Linked DNA regions of Pelodiscus sinensis. The protein of the gene in region 2 binds, or shares a complex with, the protein of the main gene of each other region. Links are inferred from orthologs where the notes say so. Each region holds a gene or a part of one and is shown on either strand. Other genes may lie near its edges.

Region 1 (7,960 bases), on a different chromosome or scaffold from region 2:
GCCATCCACCCTTTGGCAGCACTTCAAGGCCAAGGAGTCATTGCTAAGCAGATGTGCTCCAGAAGAGGAGAAACCAAAACAGGGATGGGAGACTTCACCCACTTGCTTCACACAAGCAGCACTCGTAAGAACGAGCCGTCACAATGCCGCTCACATGCTCACAAAGATCCAAGCTACGCACCAACCGGCGATCAGAACCTTCCAGGATAACCCCAAGTGGAGTGCCTGACTTGATCACCCATTGGTGCCAGCTCAGACCAGCATTCCAGCTATCTGCCTGGGACCACAGGGACAAGAGAACTTCAAGACTTTGTGCATGGTTACTACCCTGCCTCTAGTACAAGAGGATCTGGCTCATGAAGGAGACATTTGGGAAGGAGGCGGAGACTCGGTCATTGGGGCCTATTTTATTACTAGAAGGAAACCGTCTGACAGCACAGAAACAGATGAATTCGAGACCTCCCTCCCGCCCGCCCCAAGGCCCAGTGACATGTATCTGGAGGGAAGTATCTCACCTTGAGTGATCGTGGAGCAAGTGAGCTATTGCTCACACTGCCCTAGACAGCTGACCATCAGCTATCTAAATTCCAGTGCACTGCTGAAAAGCACCCAGGGGACCTCAGAACAATAATTCTGCCCCCTTTCTTTGCTCATGCACACTAGGGTGTTTAGAGTTTCACTGCCCACAAACATCAGGCTGCAGCCCTGCCAGAGGTGCAGGTGCAGAGCTGCCCATGGGTACCAGGCTGCTGATTACAGTTAGGAGAAAAGCAGCTCAGGTTTCAGGGTTTCACCAGCAAAGCGTCTCCATGAAACCGCACTCCAACCATGCAAACCAGCAGCGCCTCCAGCACAACCACCCACTCCCCACAAGCAGGGAGACAGCAAACAGGGAATTTTGGCTCATTATGGATTCTTGAGCCAAACAATTAAAACAAAGGATCAGCTGTAAAGCTGCCGCCGGCCCCTCAAACTCCAAGCCTCTGGAAGATGGTATGTTTAACTATCAAAGCATGTTGTGGTCTTTTCCTCCTCCCCCCACCCACTTTCGACTGAACTAAAAGCTTGGGGATGTTATACTGGGACAATGGCCCATTATGCCCAGGATCCATTCACTGACCATGGCCAATGCCAAATGATGGCTCAAAATAATCTCCAAGTGCACAAGAAGGATCCCATACAGTGTTCTGTTTGTGCCATGATGAAGGAGAAATGCAAGCCCTTGTCACTTCGCTTCAGTCTAATTGCCGGTGGTAGTTATTTACGTATTTATCCAGCCTTTGCCAGAGGCTGGAGATGGATGACAGGGGAGGGATCACGTGATGATTACCTGTTTCTCTTCACTCCCTCTAGGGTACCTGGCACTGGCCACTGTCGGAAGGCAGAGTACCGGGCTAGATGGATCTTTGGTCTGACCCGTGCGTATGTGTCGAAAACAAATTCGGGAAACCAAAAGAAAGGAAGGCTCCGGTTCAGCCTTGCCTTGTGGGACCCTGATTTTGCACCAAGAACTACAAGGGCAGATTCTTGCCAGGAGCCCCACTGAACACAATGGGTGTCTGCATGGATGCAAAGGTCAGCCCTCCATACTTCACAGCAGTCAGTATTTGTTATACTACAATAGCATCCAGAGGTGCCAATCACAATGAAAGCCCTCTCATGCAGATGCACTAGAAGACAACACCTGCTCCAGAGTTTATCCTAACAATTATTTAGAAGTTACAAGTAGGGCCCTGGAAATCCATAGATACCCACTTTATACCCACAGGTATTTGCATCCGTGGATGTGAATGCTGATGTCCACGGCCCATTCTTGAAGATTCCGTATCTAGAATCTTGCAAATTTACAGATAGCTGTGGATGTGGATGCAGATAACCTCAGCATATTTTTGCATCTATAGATGCAGATACAAAATTTTGTATCTGCGCAGGGCTCTAGTTACATGCCTGAGCATGTATACACACGCCCTCCCATCGCGGACAAGCAGAATTTCACAAGACTAACTTTATCCTGCAGATTGCTGCCACAGTCATTAAAGTATCATCACAACACACTGAGACCTGAGAATAATCTGAGAAGTGTGTCTAGAGACACAATCCACACAGTGGATTTGGCTCTGAAGTACAATTTTCAGACATTGTGATGACTGGTGTATGTCTCCCCCTCTATTATTAATGTATTTGCATATTTTATGCCCAATCCCCATTCCTCTCCACTGAAGCAGGGCAGGTCACTCCTGTGTGTGATGCGAGAGCGGAGATCTCAAAGCCAGAATTCACAGGTCCCCTATGAGCCCATGTCTCCTGGTGAAGAGCTGGGAGCAGAAATGCTGAGCCAGGAAGGCAGAGAGCTCTGCTCTGCACACGCTAATGGCAGCCTGGCTCTCGCCAGGCCTGGCTCGCACATTACTACCGGTTCCTCCCTCGCTTGGGAGCTTTATCGCGGGAAGCCGGAAGCCGGAGAGCTGCAGCCACCGCACGGGCAGCTCCCAGCCTTATCTGGCACCAGACAGGGCTGCCCCCCCCGGCTACAGGTGGCCCGTCAGCGAGCCCAGGGCGCGGGACGCTCGTGAGGCTGGAGCCCATGACCCCGGGGGGGGGGGCGACTCCCTCTCCCCCCTCGTCCCCCCCGCAGCGAGGCGGGAGCGCCCCGCGGCCGAGCGGCGTTACCGGAGGGCGCCCCAGCGCGGGCCGCTGCGCCGCCGGGCCCGGGCGGGGGGGCTGCGGGGTGGCGAAGAGCAGCAGCTCGGCCTCGCGCTCCGCTTCGGGCGGGGGCGGCGCGTCCGGCGTGGAGATGATCACGATCTGCTGCTCCATCGCGTGCAGGGCCCCGGCGCCCCCCAGCAGCGCCGCCAGCTCGGACACGCGGGCGCCGCCGCCCGGCCCCTCCCGAGACATGGCGGGGCGCTCACCGGCCCGGCGCCGGCCCGGGGGGGCCTGGCCCGGGGCCGCGCCCCATGCTCGGGGGGGCCGGGCCGCGCTCCGCAGCCTCCGCCCCTGCCCGGGGCCGCCGCTCGCCGCTCGGTGGCTCGGCCCGGCCCGGCTATTGTCCCCGCCGCTGCCGGCCCCGCGCGCCTTTGCGCGCCAAATCCTTTTTGCCGCGAAAGCCGCCGGAGCGCCGCGTCCGCGCTCCCATTGGCTGCGTCCGCCACACGCCGGCGGGGAGCGGCCTCGCCATTGGCCGCCGCGCCGGGCGGGGGGCGCCGCTCCGCCTTGCCATTGGCTACGGCCCGGACGGCCGCGAGGCGCCGCGGTGACGAGCCCAGCGTTCTGACAGCCGGCCAATCGCAGCGGCTGCGCCGGCGGGGGGGCGGCCAATCAGCGCGCAGCTGGGGGACGCCGCGGCCAGGGCAGGTGCGGGGGCTGGTCGCCTCGCCCGTCTCCCATCTGTTCCCACGGCGCGGCCGCCCCGCCCCTTCCCGCGGGCACAGCGGTTGCCAGGTGTCCGGCGCGCGGCCGGGGACAGACAATAGAACGCTCCGGTGTGTTCCAACTCAGAGGGGATGTCGATTGTGACGTCATGGCACGTGTGCCCCGTGTGCTTGTTGAAACCATCTGGCAGCCCCCGCCCCGCCCCGCCGCTCTGCTCGCTGGGTCCCCGGCACCAGGCCCGGCAGACTCTGCTCCCCTCACTCCCGCTGTTTGGGGAGGGGGTGTCCGCGGACAGAAACACCCTGCCCGGCTTGCAGGGGGCAGACACCCTTCTCCTTTCCCCTTCCTTGTAGGGGGCCCGGATCTGAACCAGGACACTCCTGAGAGGGAGCGGATCTGGATCAGTACCTGCCCCCTCGGGAGGTATCCATGAGTAATAGCTACATAGTACAACTATATAACACTGTATGTAACACATGGATACCTCCCGAGGGGGTAGGTACTGATCCAGATCCGCTCCCTCTCAGGGGAGTCCTCGTTCTCAAAGTTCAATTTGCTATTCTTGCCCCCACATTTCACACCCACTCTCCAAGTTCCGAACTCTAATTACATTCTACACAGTGTGTTCTTCAGGCTTCGGCTAGATTAGGTTAGAGGTCTCCACTCAGGGATGGTATGCCAGCAATTTAGCTATAATCTCCATGAAAGTCTGTTCAATAATAGAAACTGAGGGTAAAAAAATACAGAACTTCAAAAATATGTGTGGGCACATAGGGATACATCTGCCCCCCCCCCCCCACATACCTGTGGACAAGGAGCAGCATTACAGGTGCATGGATAGAACTGGTTGCAAGTCACATGCTTTTCAAAGTTTTTCATTATACCTCTATTGCTTTTCAGTAATTCGGTTTAGCAGAGGGTTGAGTTTTTAATTGTAATAAAAATCAATCTACCTCAGAATCAGTTTCTTCCTTTGATATCTGGGCTGAGGCCAACCTTCCAGGCCTTGTCCACCCTTGGGAGAAACTGGAGAGCTAGATGATAAAACTTCCTGCCCCCCTATCTACCTTGTAGCTCTCACCACTGCTGCCAATAGTAGAGCTGCAGCAGCTGTGAAGGCTGGATCTGAAACTTGACCGTGCTAATGCTACTAGGGGCTCTCCATAAAGCTGCCTTTTGGGGCAGACTGTAAAAATCTTTGAAAGGAAAGCCACCCAAACCCGAGCCTGTTTGATCAATACATCTGGCTTCAGGACAGGGCTGAAGAGGAATTGCTCAGTGTTGGCTGCCAGTATGCTGGATTCCCCTCCGGGACAGACCATGTTGCCCATACACTCTTGTGGCTCTGGTGGATGGTTTCCTCCTGTCCATAGACAAAGGATTATCTCCATCTTCGGCCTGCTGGAATTTGATGCTGACCAAACACTTCTGCAGCTCACTCCAAGAAGCTGTAGGATTGCATGGCAATGCCACGACACAGCTCATGATCTTCCCACAGAACAAACCCAGTGTGGCACAAGCAGCTGCTTCTCCACTTCCAAAGCCTTCAGTGCCACTTTATCGTATGCCAGCAACCCACAGATGATACCCATCTCTGCCTCTCACATCGAACAGCACCATCTTGCAACTTCCCCACTGCCTAGCCAAGGTCGGCTCCTGGATAGAGAGACTGGCTAGTGCTGACCCCAGGCAGGATGGAAATCATGTTGGTAGGACATGCAGAGTGCTTTGAAGAATTTAACTCCTCTAACATCTCCCTTTAAAACATGATCACCTGCCCTCCGATTACATCTGCCTTCAGCCACTGGGGCCTTTCAGACTTCACAGTACTACTGGATGTCAAAGTGGCTTGGTGGCAAAACTTGCTTCCCTCTGTGCCTAGTCACAAAACAATGCCACACCATACGGCATTGGTCACCAGCCAGTCAATCAAGATCTACCAGTAGATCTTGGAGCCTCTGACAGGGGATCCTGACTGGTTTGGCTGGGAGGCTGTCAAGTGCCTGCATGTCAGCTGCTCCTCCTCTCACTGCCCTGCTGCTCCTGCCAAGAGCCTCGGAGCCACTCCCTAGGAGTCTACTTGTTGTGCAGGGTGGGGGAGACAGAGGCAGGGGGCACTTATGTTACTCCGCCCCCCTCTCCTGTACCCCATCTTCACAGAGTGAAGAGGACGAGGCCTCAGAGAAGGGGCAGGGCAGGGCTATTTGGGTTTGAGGTAGATCCTGTACTGACAAATTCAAAAAGTGATCTTGTGCTTAAAAAGGTTGGAGACCACTGCCCTGTGGGATACAAACTTGCAAGGCCAGGTTAACCATTAGGCTGATAAGGCTATAGCGTTAGGCCCTCCAGGCCACACAGGGGGCAGGGCCAGGGCAGGAGAGAGAGGTGGAGTAAGTTTGCTCAGGTAGTCCTGCTGGAGCCTGGGAGCACTCCTGCCAGCAGGAAAAGTAAAGCAGCACCTGGAGCTTAGCAGGAGCTCAGCCGGCTGCTGGCAACGGTCCCTTGCTTCCCGGGTTCCCTGGAGGCTCTGTCTGTCCCCATGCTGCTGCAGGACAGGTTAACAGTGGTAAACGGAGATTAAAAACGTGGTCTGGTTACTATGGGAACCTGTGCCTGCTGTGGGTGTAGTTTGAGCAGGCACTGTCTCTCCCCTCCCTGTTTCCCCATCTTCCATTTCTCCAGAGCTCTGCTGGGCTGTTGGGGGGGAGCAGGAGGGAAGAAGAGAGGGCAAGACTACCCAGTTTAGGCCTGTGTCCCTCCCCGCTGAGACTGGCAGGCAAGTACAGCTTCAGGACGCTCTCTCCTGGTCCTAGTGCTAGCTCCATTTCTGGGCAACTGGTGAGTGCCTAGAGGTGGCAGGTGGGGAGGAGCAGGGCACAAGGAAAAGGCAGTACCAATGCAGTGGGAATCTTGCACAGAATCTATAGACACTCCATCCAGCTCCAACCTGAACTATGGCCCCTGCCCTCATCCCATGTATAATGAACGAATTCCCACCCACTGAGAAAAACCAACCCTCCCACTCTGGATACCAGCGCTCTGACTTTTACAGCAGCCTTTCACCAAGGAGTTTCAGATTTATGATGCACTGTTTTCAATACTGTATTGAACTGTGCTAAAAAAATAATCCAATTGTTTTTCTTTGATGTATGTTTTCTGTACTGGCATGCACAGGAAATCCAATTCTTCCCTTTTGCTCTGCCTAGTTCCACAGGGGAACACAACTTTTGCTGTTAAGGGGGTTGCAAAATCCTTGGAGAAAGCTCAACACACAATGTTTCTCTCAGGGATTTTAAATTCACTTCGTAGCCGGCTGTGATATGTGGGCATTTTCACATCAAAAGCTATTAATGGGACACATCCAGCCCACTTAGTTAGCCTCATTAACACGGGTCCTACAAGTTACAGATACTTCTTCTGCTGTAATATATACTTCTTGGTTTCTGCTATTTCCACTCCAATTCATTGGATGAAGTGGGTTTTGCCCACAAAAGCTCAGGATTCTGTATATTTTGATTAGTCCCCAGGTGCCACAGGACCTCTCACTATTTTTTTCAATTTGTAATTCATACTTAGGCCCTTCGCTCCCCTTAATCTTAGGCCCCTCACAACCTGAATCTTACCCTGCAAACGTGGCCATAGAGCCACATGATCCTGACCTCCAGGCTCAGTAACTGCAACTCATCATATCTAGGAATGAACTGGCAGAGCCAGGGATAGCTTCAGCTTTCAGAAAATGCAGCAACATGGGCCCGTAGATGTCAGAACTCCCCAATGGTCTATTCTCTGCACTGGCTGCCCCATGAACAGTCTGTGCTCTGATATTCCAAGCCCTCCATGAGACTGGCCCTACCTACCAGAGAGGCACCTCTCCCTTTATGATCAGCCTGTTCTTCAACAGCTGCAGGGCACTGGTAAGCAAGAAGTGGAAGCTTATGAGTGAAGGGGCCAGGACATTGACAGGAGCTGGACTGGGAACTTCATGCCCTGGGCCTCACCGCTTTCAGGACTAAATGTGATCTTTCCTGGGCGGTGATGATTCCTTAATAAGCCTTCCACACATTGACAAGCCTACCCATTAGTCAAGCTGCTTCTGCAGGCCAAGAAGGAAGGAAGACAATAAGGAAGGAGATTACTTCTATTTAAATCCTTGGGAGATGTTTATATACTCTAGTGTTGAAGGCCAAACTGAAGACTAAGAAAACCTCTCTCAGCATGAGGTCTGCTAAGCAGTGGAATCAGGTCTCTGAGGAGGAGGTAGCAGAAGTCCTGTCACTGGAGTGACTGAAAGCAGCTTGGACAAATCACCACAGCGTACACTGTTATACAGACAGTAACAATCCTGCTCTGGGGCGAGATGGTTTAATACGCCTCTCTGGGCTGTTAATTCTGTGCCCAGGAGGAAGGGAATGGACCTCACTGGAGAACCTGGGTCCTTTTACTTTGATCTATTCCAGATCTTGTTTGTTGTTAAACAGAATCTGCAATATTGTTCCTGGCTGTTGTCCCCCTGTACGTGAAAAGATCATTTTCTTTTTTGAACTGAGAGCTACAGAAAGATCAGCACTTGCCTGTACATTTTAAATTC
Region 2 (7,957 bases):
CAATGACTTCCGAAGCCACTTCCAGTTCTAGTATTCTATGATTCCACTAAAGACAGAAGTTAGGCTTTGAACAGTAATTACCAGGCTCATTCTTCTTTACCTTTTCAAAAACTGAAAGAGCAATCAGTAGTACGCCAGTTATCTGTTGCTAAACCATACACTAAATTTGCAAGTTATCCTGTTCTCTCCTCATTTCCTAATTTTCTAAATTCTCCCACAAACTTTTTTGTAGTTAGCGCAACTTGTCAGAAGCATGACATAAACCCCATGTCCATGACAAACTAAGGATGTTAAGGACTAGTCGCCTATCCGATAAGCATTTACTTAACAGATAGTTTGTCGACTTTCCCCCACCCCCTTTGCTGCCTCTATGAGATAGAGGCAGGGAGGGGGAAGAGGAAGGGGTACTTCAAAGTGGCAATACTGCACAGCTGAGCCGGGGGATCAGCTGTGCTGCACTGCCCCTTTAACTCACTGAAGCTGGAAGTCCCCTGCTGACCCCAGGCTCCACACAGCATTTCCCCAGAACCCGGACTCAGCTGGGGAGTCCCCTGCTGATCCATGGTTCTGCTGAAAGCTACAAAGAACCAGGGTCCTCTGGGGAGCCCCCCTGCTGACCAAGGCTTTGAAATGAACAAGGACCCTCATTGGGGACTCTTGTACATTTCAAAGCAAGCACACCTGTGTGCAGCCAGGAGTCCACTGGCCCCAGGCTGTACCTGGAGTTCCGCATTCCTCCTTTGAAATGTACAAGAGCTCCAGCAGGGTCAATTAACCACATTTTAACATTCCTGTGACAAACATAAAAGTTTCACTGACAAATGTACCCGGGTGGACAATTTTTAAAAATGCTGTGTTTTTCAGAGAACATGCAAAACATTACTATGCAAAAGTTAGAGTACCAGAGTACTTTATTAGCAATGTAACATCTAAATACAGAAGTCTCATGATAGTAAATGAGGACTGTTAATCATAAACTAATCTGTTCACTAACTTAAATACATGCTAGTATTTTTTCTGATGAAGAGGTATTAAAAATGGGAGCTATAAGAATAGATGGCTCAATAAACAGACCCTCTTATTATCACCCACTTCTATGTTAGTGGCTTGAATCGGATAGGTTGAAGCAATTATTTCCTCCCCACATAGTCTAATTGCTACTGACTTTAACTAGGTTCCTTTTGTCTGTTTCAGAAGAAAGGCAAAAATAAGCATAGAGACTGAAAGAACCTCTTATCCTTAAACATGTGATATTTCCTAAACATAGTTTAACAGCAGGTCAACACTGAGTGGCATTTCTAGTGTACCTGTTCTATCAACAAGCAGGTAACTTAATGAAAGGTACTTCACTGACAATGCTCAGATTGAACAATACTTTAATTACCCAGCACAATAGTGAAAACTGCTTTTCACAATCTCTATTACAAGTATGCAAAATGCCTGCATCAAATGCTTTTCAGCAAGATGGTGGCTTTTTGTTTTGTTGCACAGAACAAATGTGCATATTGTGTAAAACGTTAAGCCTTTTTGTAATACAAAAGCTAGTAAGTCTATTCTAAACTTTCTATGTGAAAACAGATACACTGCAAACCCATTTTAAATAAGAGACAAAAAGGAGGTCTTCATTTCCCCTAATGCCAGTTGTGGTATGTATGGCCTGCTCTGTCTTAAGCACATGGAAATATTCTATCACTCATGTTCCCAGATAATACAAAACAAATATACTTACATCTTTTGCCATGTTACCAATGCTTAGAAATCAAGTCTCTTAAATGACTGACACCCACAGAAGGAAACAGGGACTGTGATATTTTCTACAAAGAAAGTCAAGACAACACTAGCTGTAACAGTGAACTGCAAAAGTCCATCATTTATTAACTGCATGCAGACATTCCTCTACTTTAGAGCATGGTCTCGTAATATTTAAAAAGTTTTCTGGCATCAACAACTTACTCTGGGAGAAAGGCCTCACAATCCCCCCAGAGAAAGGACCCTCCCTTCAGCTCGCACCCTAGCCCCAAGGCCTTCCTCATCCCAAACATACACGGAGGAGCCCAGCAGGCGGCCTGGACTGGCAGCCTAAGCCCACAGTGGGTCGGCCACAGTCCAGCTCTTCCCCTTCCCCGCAACACCATCCCACAGGCGAGGCCGGAGGCCCCTATGCCGGACCTGTCAGCTTCCCCACAATACTAGGCCCCTGGGGCCAGTCCCCTGACAGCCCCGGCGGGCGCAGCCAGATGGGCCGCTGGTGCGTGGGGAGGCCGGGGCGCCTCAGAGGCTCTTCACAGATTGGCAGCCCCACCAGCCCCTCACCCGGGGCCCCACCAGCCCGCCCAAGCTAGCGAGTGGGCGCGCGAGGCGCTGGGCTCGGCTGCCACAGGAGAAGCACCATCCCCCAGTATGGGGAACCCCCCCCCCGGGTAAATCCCGCGCCCCCTCCCCACGTCCCGCCCAAACCCATCCCCCGGTGCGGCAGCGCCTCCCACACGCCGAACGGTGCCTGCACCTGAGCGGCCGCCGGCGGAGAGCAGGCTCCCTGCGTCCCCCGCCCGCTCCCACACAGCGCCGCTCTGCGGAGACACGGCGGCGGGAGGGGGGGGGGGGCGCCGACTGCACATGTGCAGCTCGCGGGCCTCCAAACGGGGGGGAGGGTAAGAGAGAAGGCAGGGCTGTCAACGGCGCCAGCCCCCAATCAGGGGATCCCGCCCCTCCCCCCTTGTCAGCCTCACTCTTCTCTGCCCCCCGACTCTCCCTCCCTTCCATCCTCCCTCTTGGGGTCCCTCTGCTGCGCCCCCTGCTCCTTGCACACCTGCGCAGGCTCCCCCCTCCTCGCGGAGGGCTCCCTGTGTGGGGGCGGGGGGGCGCAGCCGCCCCTCCCCAGCTTCAGCACGCGGATGCGGCCCTGGAAAAAAAATTTCCGTTGGCAGAAAAAAAAATTGAAACTTACACTTTTGTACGTCCCACCGGCGTGACGCTGCGCGCTGACGTCATGAGGTGTAACGTGCCTCGCATAGGGCCCACGCGGAGAGATTAGTGGCCCCTCCACACCGTCCCTCCGTGTGGCGCGCATGCGCGGGGATTTCGCGCCCAGGGATTCCCCACCCCTTTTGGAAAAAGAGCGCGCGGGAAGCCTGGGCGCGAGACTTGGCGGTTAGTCAGTCAGAACCAGGCAGCCGTTGCGCTCTGGCACGTGGTGTCACTCGAGGGGGTGGCCTGCGTCAGCGCTGAGCTACTTACCACCCACCTGTCGATGTCAAGCGAGGGGAGAAGGGTACCGTGCCCCGCCTCTGCTGACTAAAGCTGGGCGCTAGCCCATGTCCCCTCCAGCTCTGGCGGGGAGAAGGACTTTGCCTAGGTCCTGGGGCTTCAGGTGGCTTAGCAGGACCTAGCCCTGATTGACCTCGCAGAACATTTTCCTTCTCGCGCCATAATGATTGCAGGGCACAGCACGCTGTCAAAACAAATCCTCAGGGTGTTGGTTTCAGCTGTGGGCTCTGCACCCAGCAACAGCATTTTAGAAACTAGCCCTAACCAACCCCTGAGTAATGCTGATGGTGCGTCCTCATCACTGCCTCGCCATTATCAGGGCTGCAGCACTTACAATGCCCCATTTTAAACATGCCATTTTAAAATAGTTTAATTAGAGGGCAAACTGGCTCCTCTGCAAGTTCTGCTGCTTGCTGCAGAAAAGAGTGAGAAACTGTAATACTCATGACAGCTAAGGCAGAATTGTACTTCATAGTATTTTTTGTAGCATAGAGATAGTTTGTGGTCTTTTAAGATTTTCCTTTTTCATCCCCACTATGCTAGATTTTTAAAATTTAGATGTACTGTGATTGCATCAAGGTCAGGATACACTAAACTGACCTTTGTACTAAATGGAACATTTTTTAAATCCAGAAGAATGAAACAGTAACTGTAGAAAAGTGAGCTTTTACTCAAAACCACTTTCAGAGATGGAAAACTGTTAGGTGAAGACTTTTCTTTGAAAAGTGTTTTCAGATATTTGTGAAAAAGGGAGGCAGCTATTATTGAAGCAGCACGTGATATCTTAAATGGAAAGAGAAAAATATGATACTGATTTTTTTAACTGATTTGCCCCTTACAAAGGAAGAATAGGTAAGGGAAAATGTTTGGAGCCTGGGAAAAGTGACCTAGCTCCAGGGGATTTTAGACCATTCAGTGCAGAAATTGTGGATGGAGCATGAAACAGGTCCTCAAACAGTTCTGGCATGCCATTCTCCTTTTCTCCAAATGTTTGAGTCTGTTCCAGAGATGAAAGTAAGTCGATACACCTTGGGCAACAGCTGGCTGAGCTGTAGCAAAAGCCAGCAGAGAACTGGGTTGCAATAGGATGGTACCTGTACAAAATTTTAAGTTACTTTCACTCTTCTTTTTTTTTCTAATCACAGTCAGCAAAGGATCACCATTTGGAGAATATAATCCTTCATTGCTTTTTTACCAACGCTTATTAATAATACCTTCCAAAGAGTCCAGTCCAGTTGCATAAAGTACTTGTGAGATAATTGGGTTAAGGATTCAAGTGTATTCTGAGGAGATTTGGTACTTGTTTGTCCATTGTGCTTTATGCCTGCTATAGTGTGTAGGTGATTTCCCCCCTGCATTTTCCAGCTCCTGTGTTGGCATGTCAATGACTGCTTTTCTCTATTCAGCATTTCTTTGGCATGTCTGCACCTTATAGAGTTTTTCTTTATGAAACTGAAACCTTACAGGCCATCAGCCAGCTGTCCAGTGGCAAGGCCCCAGGATCTGATGCGATCCCAGCGGAAGTCTATAAGGGTGGTGGTGCAGTGCTTGTCGACAAACTCACTCAGCTGTTCCAGTCCTTCTGGAATCAAGGATCTATTCCTCAGGAACTGAAAGATGCGCCCATCGTACACCTCTACAAGAGGAAAGGAAATAGACAAGTTTGCGATAATCATAGAGGAATATCACTGGTTTCCATCGCAGGTAAGATCCTTGCACGAGTGTTGCTGAATCGTCTGATTGACCACCTGGAACAGGGTTTATTACCCGAGACAGAGTGCGGCTTCCGCAAAGAGTGTGGCATGGTGGATATGATCTTTGCAGCCTGACAGCTCCAAGAGATGTGTCAAGAGCAGAATTGTGAACTGTACACCATCTTCGTGGATCTCACCAAGGCTTTTGACATTGTCAGTCGCGAAGGTCTGTGGCGCATCATATCGTAGTTTGGGTGCTCTGACAGATTCATCTTGATGGTACGTCAGTTCCACGACGGCATGACGGCTCGTGTTCTAGATGATGGAGAAGCTTCAGAGGCCTTTCCCGTCACAAACGGCGTCAAGCAAGGGTGTGTGCTGGCACCGACCCTGTTCAGCATAATGTTTTCAGCCATGCTGTCAGACGCCTTTCAGAACAGTTCCTTGGGAATCAGACTGAGATACAGGACCGATGGGAAACTGTTTAACCTGCGAAGACTCCAGGCTGTCACCAAGATAAAGGAGACTGTGCTACGAGATCTCCTTTTTGCTGACGACTGCGCCCTGAATGCTGGATCAGAGCAGGAAATGCAAGCCAGCATGGACAAATTCGCAGCAGCATGTGACAACTTCGGCCTTCTCATCAACACAAAGAAAACCGAAGTGATGCACCAGCCAGCTCTGAAAGCTCAACATCAAGTGCCCACCATCACAGTGAAGGGACAAAAGCTGCAAGCAGTGGACCAATTTACATATCTTGGCAGCACCCTCTCCCGCACAGTGACAATTGACATCGAGGTCAACTGCAGAGTCGCCAAGGCAAGCTCTGCTTTCGGCAGACTGCTGACCAAAGTGTGGGACCGCCGTGGAATAAGCCTTGCTACAAAGCTTAAAGTCTATCGAGCAGTAGTGTTAACTACCCTGATGTATGCCAGTGAGACTTGGACTGTATACAGGAGGCACGCTAGGCAACTAAACCACTTCCATACGATTTGCCTTCACAGACTTCTGAGGATCCGGTGGCAGGATAAGTTGCCAGACACAGAAGTCCTTTCTAGAGCAGGCCTGCCATCAGTTTACACCCTGCTGATGAAAGCTCAGACACGCTGGGCAGGCCATGTTGCAAGGATGCCAGATCATCGCATCCCTAAACAGCTCTTCTATGGTGAGCTGTTTCAAGGTAAGCGATCGCACGGGGGACAAAAGAAGCGATACAAAGACACGCTTAAAGCCTCTCTCAAGTCCCTGGATATTGACACCACCTCCTGGGAGACCCTGGCACAAGACCGATCAACATGGCACACGCTGATGTACCAAGGCTGTCAAACATCTGAAGCCAGAAGGAGAACCATAGCACAAGAGAAGCGAGCACTCCGTAAAGCCAGAGTTGCAAAAGCTGCAACAGTGGTGCCCACACATGTCTGCCCGACATGTGGCAGAACATTCCGTGCCCGTATCGGCCTTATCAGCCATTTGCGGACACACCATGGACAGTCCGCAACCTGTTAGATGTCAAGGTCCTCTTCGAATACGATGGACGAACAACAACAACAACAGTGTGTAGGTAATTTTCCCCCTGCATTTTCCAGCTCCGGTGTTGGCATGTCAATGACTGCTTTGGCATGTCTGCACCTCACAGAGCTTTTCTTTATTGGGATACACTCTATTTCCTTCAGAGCAGTGGTCACCAACCAGTAGATCAAGATCTACCCGTAGATCTTGGAACCTCTGACAGGTGATCCTGACTGGTTTGGCCAAGAAGATATCAAGCTCTGGCACTTCAGTTATCCCTCCACATACTGTCATGCTCTCCTGCCCCCTGCCTTTCATTTACGTCGGTGGCGTAGGAAGATATCGGCACGTGTACCCATCTGACGTGGTATTTGGGTTCTATAAGCACTTGCCGAGCCATATTGGTCTTAACTACATAAGGGCCAATTTCATGACGGTCAGGCTCTTCAGCTACTAATATTTTCACTGGAAATTTAACCCCGAATAATCCTAACACCGTCCAGGTGTTGGATTCCGTGATGTTTTCTATAAATACTCCAGTACACTCATAACTAGCTGGCTGTGGATCTACTATACAGCTTGGTGATGCAGCAAACTGACTAGTTCTGTGTGGTGATCTATTTGCTGCACAGGTCAATGGCACTGTGGCACGAATTACTCTTGCTGGTGATATAACAGTAGCATCTATTGTAGTCGTAGTAAAATGATCGTGATAAAATTTTATCACCCATACGACTTGTCCTGGCTTCACTATAGGATGATACAGAACGTCCAGATATACGCACGTTGAACCAGTCCACCTAGGAGCTATTATTTTGCAATTGGTCAGACATCGTCTATTATGTATGTCTGATGATGCATGTGCCATGGTTTCATTTATACAGAGATGGGGGTTAACAAATGTCCATAGGCATTTCTTGGATGGAGACGTATCTACTAGCATATTTAACCAACCAGGGACGGTAAAACCATTAGCTTTAGTCTCATCTTTACCCATCGTAAAATATAATAATATATTGCCTTCTATTTCATCTCGAACAAATAGATGGCAAACCCGATGATCTTGCTCTACTCGAATTGTGACCATTTGACTCTTAAAAATGGGAAGCCTAACCTCCCATCGATTAGTATTACCTCTCAAAGGCTTATATGTTTTGGAATTGATCACCTGGCGATTATAAACTAGATCTCGGGATTCACGATGAGTCCAGACATATCTTTTTGGTGTCATCAAATCATATTGTTGTTGTTTCAAAGGTTTAATAGAATATAATAGGACTGGAAGGGACCTCGAGAGGTCATCGAGTCCAGCCCCCCGCCCTCAAGGCAGGATCAAGCTCCGTCTACACCATCCCTGACAGATGTCTATCTAACCTGTTCTTAAATATCTCCAGAGAGGGAGATTCCACCACCTCCCTTGGCAATTTATTCCAATATTTGACCACCCTGACAGTTAGGAATTTTTTCCTAATGTCCAATCTAAA
Region 3 (7,860 bases), about 52 Mb from region 2:
TTGGGTTAACAGACAAACCAATCTGAAACACATGGTAAACTGTGTGCAAGCACACAATATGGGTTTTAATATGGCTAAATGTATAAATCTAGGAACAACGAATGCACTCAGCTGCATGTGAGGTCCCAGGGTGATGCTCTGAACAAAAGAGCTAATTGTGATTGTAGAATGCATAAACAAGGGAATCTCAAATAGGAGTGGAGAGGTTATTTTGTGTCTGTATTTGGCACTGGTGTACCGTTGCTGGAATAACTGTACCATTCTGAATCTGGTTCTGGTAGCAACAATTCAATGATGCTAAAAAACTGGAGAAGGTCTGAACAAGAGCCTGAAGAACAAGTTAAAGGATTAGAAAACATGCTGATAGTGACAGACTCAGAGTTAAATTTGATTATCTTAGCAAAGAGTAGGTTAAGGGATAATTTGATTACTATTGATAAGTATTGACATGGAGAACAAATATTTAATAATGGGCTCCTGAGTATAGTGGAGAATGTTTAACACAAGCCAATGGCTGCATGGGTAGTAAGTGAACCTTGGGTTGGAGAGTCAAGCCTCCAGCCTTGCTTCTTTTGCTCAAGCCCTCTACCCAATAGCAGTCAAGCCCTCGCCCCACCACAGGGCAGGCCTCCAGCCCGCCATGTGAACCCTCCCCTGGTCCTAGAGCAGGGGGAAGACAGGTGGCATGCAATCACAGCTTCTGCGTGGCTGGAGCTGGGGGCAGCTCCAGAGCAGCAATGAAGCAGGGGTGCTGTGGAGGCCAAGTGTGGGCAGGGCCATGCCTCAGTCTTGGACGGCAATGCCTTCCCCTGCTTCTTGTACCCACTTCTTATGAATGAATTTTTTTAGTTTCAACTTCCAGCCAACCTGGAAATAAGGTGTACATTTTTAACACTGGAAAAATGTACCAAGTATTGTCAGTGATGGAGATTGCTCAACAATGTTTACATAAGATATATACGGTAATAGGAATTATTTTGGGGATGACTTATAAGAGAGGTCAGACTAGATGATCACAATCATTTCTTCTGGTCTTAAAAATCTATTAATTCAGTTATCTAAAGAAGACATTCAAAGAGTATTCAATTAAATCTGTCCTTTAACTCACCAATTTCAATACTTATTAACTGTATTATGGTAGTATCTACAGGTCCTAACTAAGATTGGATCCTCATAGTGCATTGTTTCATAAACATATTAAGAGTCAGTGCTTTCTAGAACATATCATTACCTAAATTAGACAGAGAAAAGTGTTGGGAGAAAATATTATCTGATTTTATAAATGGAGAACTGAAGCAGGGGAAATTAAATGACTTTCTCTGTGTCTCACAGAAAGCCTTTGGCAGAGACAACAATGTATCCCAGCTATTTGAGATCTAATCCAGTGTTTAGCCATATGGTCATCTGTCCCTCCTTCAGCCTAGGTTTAAATCTGGTAACTAAAATGCAGAAGTGTATCACTAATTAATTTCTCATGTACTATATATATTTATATGGACTAAAAAAAACTCAGTTAAAATTACAAAAGCAAGCATTGGACAGTTAAGAAATAATACAGTAAAACTCCAATAGTCAGGCACCCGATTGTCCAGCACTCCCGATAGTCCGGCATCAAAATGGCAAGCGCTTCTGATGGAACCGGAACTGCTCAGGTCAGCTGCTCTTACCTGGGTCACAGCAGGGAGCTGAAGTGTTTTTCTAAGAAGAAGGGGAGGGGAATTGGATTACTTATGGCATCCTGGCCAGCTTCTGGAAAAGCTGGCCCCTTAGCACATGTGCTGGCTGTATCTGACCAATCGTAAGGTTGGGGTGGGGGAGTGGGATCGGGTTATAGCAGGGAGCAGAAGTGTTCTGCTAAGGGGAGGAGGATCGGGTTACTCATGGTGTCCCAGCCAGATGATTTGGGGGGGGAGGGGAGGTAGGGAGATTGGGTTGGGAGTATGCAGTACCTCCTGATACTCCGGCATATCCGATAATCTGGCACCACCTAAATCCCAAAGGTGCCGGATTATTGGAAGTCAACTGTAGAATTAAAGCTGCCCATGCAATTTGATTTGGCCCCCTTCTGCATATGCATTATGAAACAATCCTTTAATTATGTGATCAGGTACCCCTGTTTTCAACAGGAACCCTGCTTTAGCAATACCCAAGATACAAGATTAACATTATTTTAATGTGCGTGTGTATATGTAATTTCCTAGATCTTTTAAAGAAGAAACTAAAATAAAAAACATTCTTTTATATGAAATCATACCAGCTCCCCCTATAGATCATCAGCTGGACTGGAATCTTTAGCTCTACAACACAGACCTTTATCCCTTAATTGATAGTGTGGCTCCAGGCCAGCATACAGCAGCCATACCTACAGAGCGAGAACAAGGTTGGGTTAAAACCAACCTTTGCATACATTTTAAAAAAAAAACAACCTACCATCCTGCACTGTTTGAAGGATGGTTTACAGAATCTAGTCCTTTATGTGCAGTTAGAATTTTCTTTAATACTGAAGTTACTTGAACACATTCTAGATGGAGCTGGTAGCACTACCCACAGTTAAGGTTGCCTAAGAACTTCCTTGTAAGACCCAATTTTCAGTTGCTGTTAATGTTACTAAACCTTACTTGTTCAGGTTGAAATTTTTCAGGTGTCTGCCTCAGACAGGGGTATCGTTCAGGGAACCAGGAGAGGGCACGTACACCTCACACAAGGGGTGGGATGGTCCTGGGGCCCAGTCTCTGGGCATCCAGGGGAGTTAGCAGGGGAGGGCATGATGCCAGTAGCAGGGATCCAATCCCCCTGCATTCACCAGCAGTGGTGGGGGCAGGGAAGCGGAGTTATGCAGCTTTAGCTTGCTCTGCTTCCCACTGCTGAAAGTGAGGGTATGCCGCCCCTTCTCCAAGCAACATGCTGGGACAGCAGAACAAGCCGGGATAGTGTTGCTTCACTCCCCCCACTCCCAGCCACTGGGGGTGTGTGTGGGGGGGGGGCTGGACACCAGCTGCCAGCACCCTGGCCCTGCTTGTCCCCTGGGTTGCATTAGTTGGGGGAAAAGGCAGTGCAGAGCAAGGGCAAGGAATAGGAGGACATGGAAATTCACAAAGGTACCTGGGTGCCTTATAAATATATTTGTTTCTTTTCCCCTCTGCTTGTTTACTTTAAAAATAACATGAATGTAAAAATTGGTCTCCTCTGGATCTGCTACTGCTAGAGGACTTTTTAGGCTCCCAGCAGAGTGTACTGTGACCTCTACCTATGCCTCACTTGAAGAGCTCTTGGTCTTGAACTTTGATCAAAGACATCACTTCTCCCAAGTGTTCACTAACCTCTGGAGTTTCAAACTCCAGGCACCTCCATGTGTGTGTAACTCTGTAACCTGGACAGGCGGAACCAAACCGGGGATTGCTGTAGTTTAGCGCATGAGCTTCTAGTGCAGAGCTGGGGAATCTAAGGCCCAAGGGTGGGATGCAGACCATGGCTTGCCTGGATCGGGCCTTTGAGACTCATAGCTCCCCCAGCATTGGGGAGTCCATTGTGGCACTCCAGCCTCTCTGCTGCCCCACAGTGGAGCTGGAGCATACAAAATCTACTCACCTGGGCCTCCCTAGGCTCTGGTGTGTGAGGGGAACGTGGGGAGTGTCTTTCTTCTTCTCAGTTTGGGGACCAGTCAATGAGAGTTTGCCCCTTTTTGTTTTCTTTTTGTGTGTGCCCACCCTCTGATTTTTTTCCTTTGGGTCAGCAGCCCCTGACCCCAAAAAAGGTTCCCCACCCCTTCTCTACTGCGTGAGCTAAAACCCAGCTGGCTCTCAGGTAGGGTTGCCAGATGGTTTCCACAAAAATACCAGACACACTTGAAATTACATCAAAATTAACATTACATCTTATTTAGAAACTATGTCTACACTGGGAGCTTCTTGCGCAAGAACTCTTCCAGAAGAGAGAGTCTACACTGCCATGTGCTTTTGCGCAAGAGCATCCATGCCAGTGTAGACGCTCTATTGTGCAAGAAAGCTCTGATGGCCATTTTAACCATAGGGCTTTCTTGCGCAAGACATTCATGTTGCCTGTCTACACCGGCCTCTTGTGCAAGAACAGCTGCGCAAAAGGGCTTCTTCCCCAGCGGGAGTGTCAGAGTTCTGGCGCAAGAAGCCCTGATTTCCTACATTAGACCATCAGTTTACTTGCGATCACACGGCCAGTGTAGACAGGCAGCAAGTTTTTGTGCGAGATCGCACCAGTGTAGACCCAGCCCCAGACTTTCATATTTTCTGAATTTGTTTTTTAAACAGACGGCCCAAATACTGGACTCTCCCGTTCAAAACCGGACACCTGGCAACCCTACAGGAAGGCTGCAGAGCAAACTAATTCTCCCTGTAAGTGGTCGGACAGGACAGCTCAGCCCACAGGTGCGTGGGTTACAACGCCACTTGGCTCCTCCCTCCCTTCCCGCTCGCCCCCGCTCCCAGGCAGACGGAGCTGAACCGTCTATAGCTTCTAGGAACGTAACTGGCAAAATAAACTGTTGACAACAACAAACCAGGTCCGCTGAGCCCCGCCCCTTCGGCACCACCAGCAACAGCAGCCGGGAGAGCCCCCGCCCCGACAGTCATCAGCTCTTCTATTGGCTAAGGGAAGTGGGTGACTTGATTGGCCGAAGGGCTTGCGCTCAAGCCTCCGTTGCCAAGACTCCGAGTTTCTCTTCCGGGTTCTTAGCCTCATTCTGTGCGCAGGCTCCACCCCCTTTGAATACGCTCCCTGTCCCTTTCACCCCTCTCTGAAGCGAGTTGTGGGCTGGGAAGTGACGCGTACGCTCCGCCCGGTGGGCGGGGCGGACGTGACGTGTTTTCCCGCGGTTTGAGTGGTCGCTGTTGGGAGCCGGTTTGTCCGTTTCTCGTCTCCCCTCTGCGGTGCACGTTTAAACTTCGGACCCAACAGTTGCGGCTCCGCGCGCCCTTGCGCGCGCCCGACCGACATGCCGCCCAAGCCCCCCCGGAAGGGGGGAGCCGCCGCCAAGGGAGGCAGTACCCCGCCACCTCCGCCTGCCGCTGCCGCCAGGTGAGAGTCGCCAGCCGCTTCCTCCAGCCCGGGCTCTAGCCCCCGCGGCACCGCTTTTCTGCTGCTCCGGGAGCGTCCCGGGTGAGGGCAGCTCTGCTCTGGCGAACGCGGAAGCCCTCGCCGCTTGGTTGCGCATCCCTGTGCGGGGTGGCTGGGAGGCTGCCTGCCCGGCTTGGGGGGGGATGGCTGGTACGGTACTGGGCGCTGCTGAAGACGGGTCCGTAGGTCCCTGGTGCTCGCGTGGGCAGAGGTTGCTTTGGCCGGAAAAACAGCCCGTTGGTGTCCGCCCAATCGGCGGTGCCCGCTGGGCGAAAGGCTCCCTTAGCCTCGCTGGTGCTGGGGCCTGTCAGCTGTGGCCAACTGCACACTCACCGCGGTGTGAGATGTAACAGCGAAGACCTGGCTCTGACTGACGAGAGGCTCGAGCAGAGGTTAAGCATTTTATGCTGATGGAACCGTAGGATTGGCCTGTTAAGATTCAGGCAGTAGAAATGTGAAAGGTAATGCAGGGTCCTGCCTGGGTTCCTGATTGCTTCCAGCTCTTTGGCTCCCAAGCTTTCCAAGGTCTGCTCTAGTGGGCTCACCTTTAAAGGACAAAAATGTGCTGCTTTATCTGCTACAGATAGATGACATCCGATGTGCATGCATTCAGCATTTCAGGATTGTATGAGTTTTAGATTAGAAATTCCAGTGTAAAACCAATTTCTTTGGTTCCCTGCTAGTCACTGACCTTCCTTCAATCCATTCCTGGTTCTTGGGGTCATAAGTAGAGACCTGTACAACTGAATATCTCCTTTATAGCCATTGACGTTTGTGGATCAGATGTGGATGCAGATGCTCAGTAAGATGGGTTTTCTCCAGAGAAATGTCACATTCTAGCTAATGTTTTATACTTTATAATCATATGTGATACATTTTCATTTAAATGAACCTGATAGTTAATCATCCATTTCACTCTCTTTTAGGCTTGAGTTTGGAGAAACTGGCTTTATTGCACTGTGTGACACACTAAGAGTATCAGACATTGTGAGAACAAATGCTTGGAAGATGTATGAAAAAATGTCCCCTACTGATGGAACTTTAGTGAGTACTTGGTAGAGTTAATGCTTACAGTGACTTGATTTAAAATACTGAGCTCTGGATCCGTGCTTAGCCTAACATGTTGCCTTAGCCAAGAAGCAAATTGGTAAAAATTGCAAGTTATTTTAAAATGGAAATGCTACAGTGGTATCATTCTGATGCAGGTTTATATCAAGGTCAAAAAGTACAAAGGTTGCTGTGTACACACATCTGTGTAGATTAACTTGCATAACCTCACCTTCACTAAATATGCCAATTAAAAAAACCCCTTTAGTTCACACTTACTCTAAATGGTAGTTAAACCAGCACTATGTGACTAATCACATCCAGACCACATGTTATAGCTGTTCCCCACTCTGGCACTCCAAGTGCGGAAGATGAGGGCCTGCACAAGACTATATATACCTTGCCTCTGTAGCCGTGGTCACTAACCCATCAATTGTGAGGCATTTGGGGCCTCCCCATTTTCCCCCACCCTCAAGAAGCCCCACTGTCCATCTCCAGTGACCCTGCAGGAAGCCGGTGCTACCTCCATTGTGGATAGGAGTCCTGCAGCTGCGTGCCACTTCTGGGGTTTCAGGAAGTGTGCTGGCTGCACCCCCTCCCCCAAACAGCTAGTGCGGTACCAGACCCAGGTCTGTGGCATGCTGGGGACTTCCTGCGGGGGGCTAAGGGGGCGGAGGAGTCCCTGGAGGAGGGTGTATGCTGGAATGAGCTCCCCCTGCAGTGGGTGGGGGAGGCGGGAGGATGTAAAAGTCTCTAGAGCAGGCGAGTGCTGGGATGAGCTTCCCCTGCAAGAGGGAGGGGGTAGGAGTCCCTGGAGGGAGGCAGAGTGCTGGGACGTGCTTTCCCTGCGAAGGGGAGGGGTCCTTGGAGGAGGCGAGTGCCAGGGACTCCTTGTTGCCTGCCACCACCAACACCCTGTCCCCTGCTGCAGCACCCACTGACAGCCTGCTACCTGTCCCATCAGCCACTGGTGCCCTGCCTTAGCACCCTGTCCCCTGCTTCAGCCCCCACTGTCACCCTGTCCCCGTCTCTAGCATCCTTCCCCAATACCATGTCCTCAGCTCCCACCAGCACTGTTGGGGCCACATTAGTGAGGTTGGGGGGTTTTGGAGAAGGTTTGTGTGTGGTGGTGTGTGTGTTTTTTTTTTTTTTTTTTTTTTTTTGCATCTCACTTGTGTGGCCCCAACTGACTTTTCTGTGGATCAGTGACCCCCTGACTCAAAACAGGTTCCCCATCCTTCTCGTACCCAAATCCCTCATTCCCACCTCAGAGACTGCAGCTCCTGTCTCGACCCAGTGAATACGGCTAGACTGCAGGAGTTTTTTTCCGAGATACCAGAGGTATCCCAGAAAAACTCTTCTGCATCCAGAACATGTTTGTGCTTCTGCTTTTTTTTAGCCGAAGAGCAAATATGCTCTTTCAGCAACCCCTATATTCCCTGTTCCAAGAGGAATAAGGGGGCTTCTGAAAGAGGGTCTTTTTCCTGACATTTGGCCCAGTCTAGAGAGGCCAAATGTTGAAAACCTCTTCCTACAGAAAAATCAAGGGGGGGAGGGAGGGAGGGAAAGGCGGCAGTGTAGCCATACCTTGAGAGAGTATAAAGGCCAGGGGTAGTAAGTGATGGAGAGGAGGAGAACAAAGAGGACAGGGCTTCAAGGAAAGAGTGGAGTCTTGGGGGCGGAAGGATGGGGTAGATCTTGACTTGTTCTGACATTTAAAAAGTG

Evidence for each region. Proteins that work in one complex are often made in the same cells at the same time.
Region 1: the proteins of TFDP1 (region 2) and E2F1 are in contact, whole or in part, in a crystal structure (PDB 2AZE), measured with the Homo sapiens proteins. The link is inferred for Pelodiscus sinensis from reciprocal best matches to the Homo sapiens genes TFDP1 and E2F1. Residues at the interface, in NP_009042.1 of Homo sapiens: Glu201, Cys202, Leu205, Glu206, Glu208, Arg209, Arg212, Leu213, Arg215, Ile216, Lys219, Gln220, Gln222, Leu223, Leu226, Ile227, Gln229, Gln230, Phe233, Lys234, Leu236, Val237, Arg239, Asn240, Arg241, Glu244, Pro251, Ser255, Val256, Ile257; in NP_005216.1 of Homo sapiens: Arg202, Leu203, Leu206, Thr207, Asp209, Leu210, Leu213, Gln214, Ser216, Glu217, Leu220, Asp221, Leu223, Met224, Ile226, Cys227, Thr228, Gln230, Leu231, Leu234, Asp239, Ser240, Gln241, Arg242, Leu243, Ala244, Tyr245, Val246, Thr247, Cys248.
Region 3: the proteins of TFDP1 (region 2) and RB1 are in contact, whole or in part, in a crystal structure (PDB 2AZE), measured with the Homo sapiens proteins. The link is inferred for Pelodiscus sinensis from reciprocal best matches to the Homo sapiens genes TFDP1 and RB1. Residues at the interface, in NP_009042.1 of Homo sapiens: Gln222, Glu225, Leu226, Gln229, Ile262, Val271, Asp273, Asp288, Asn289, Thr290, Phe291, Glu292, Ile293, His294, Asp295, Glu298, Arg302; in NP_000312.2 of Homo sapiens: Ile835, Ser838, Phe839, Thr841, Ser842, Phe845, Gln846, Ile848, Asn849, Val852, Cys853, Asn854, Ser855, Val858, Leu859, Lys860, Arg861.

What each region holds. Positions count from the first base shown.
Region 1 is NC_134728.1:34,324,767-34,332,726, forward strand, and holds the start of E2F1 (transcription factor E2F1), read right to left. Parts: upstream 3,093-7,960; 5' UTR 2,899-3,092; coding exon 2,671-2,898; intron 1-2,670. UniProt on the Homo sapiens protein: Transcription activator that binds DNA cooperatively with DP proteins through the E2 recognition site, 5'-TTTC[CG]CGC-3' found in the promoter region of a number of genes whose products are involved in cell cycle regulation or in DNA replication.
Region 2 is NC_134711.1:237,051,842-237,059,798, forward strand, and holds the start of TFDP1 (transcription factor Dp-1), read right to left. Parts: upstream 3,093-7,957; 5' UTR 2,948-3,092; exon of another isoform or gene 2,810-2,947; intron 2,650-2,809; exon of another isoform or gene 2,507-2,649; intron 2,194-2,506; exon of another isoform or gene 2,170-2,193; intron 1,815-2,169; 5' UTR 1,742-1,814; coding exon 1,730-1,741; intron 1-1,729. UniProt on the Homo sapiens protein: Can stimulate E2F-dependent transcription.
Region 3 is NC_134711.1:288,848,953-288,856,812, forward strand, and holds the start of RB1 (retinoblastoma-associated protein), read left to right. Parts: upstream 1-4,768; 5' UTR 4,769-4,966; coding exon 4,967-5,049; intron 5,050-6,014; coding exon 6,015-6,132; intron 6,133-7,860. UniProt on the Homo sapiens protein: Tumor suppressor that is a key regulator of the G1/S transition of the cell cycle. The hypophosphorylated form binds transcription regulators of the E2F family, preventing transcription of E2F-responsive genes.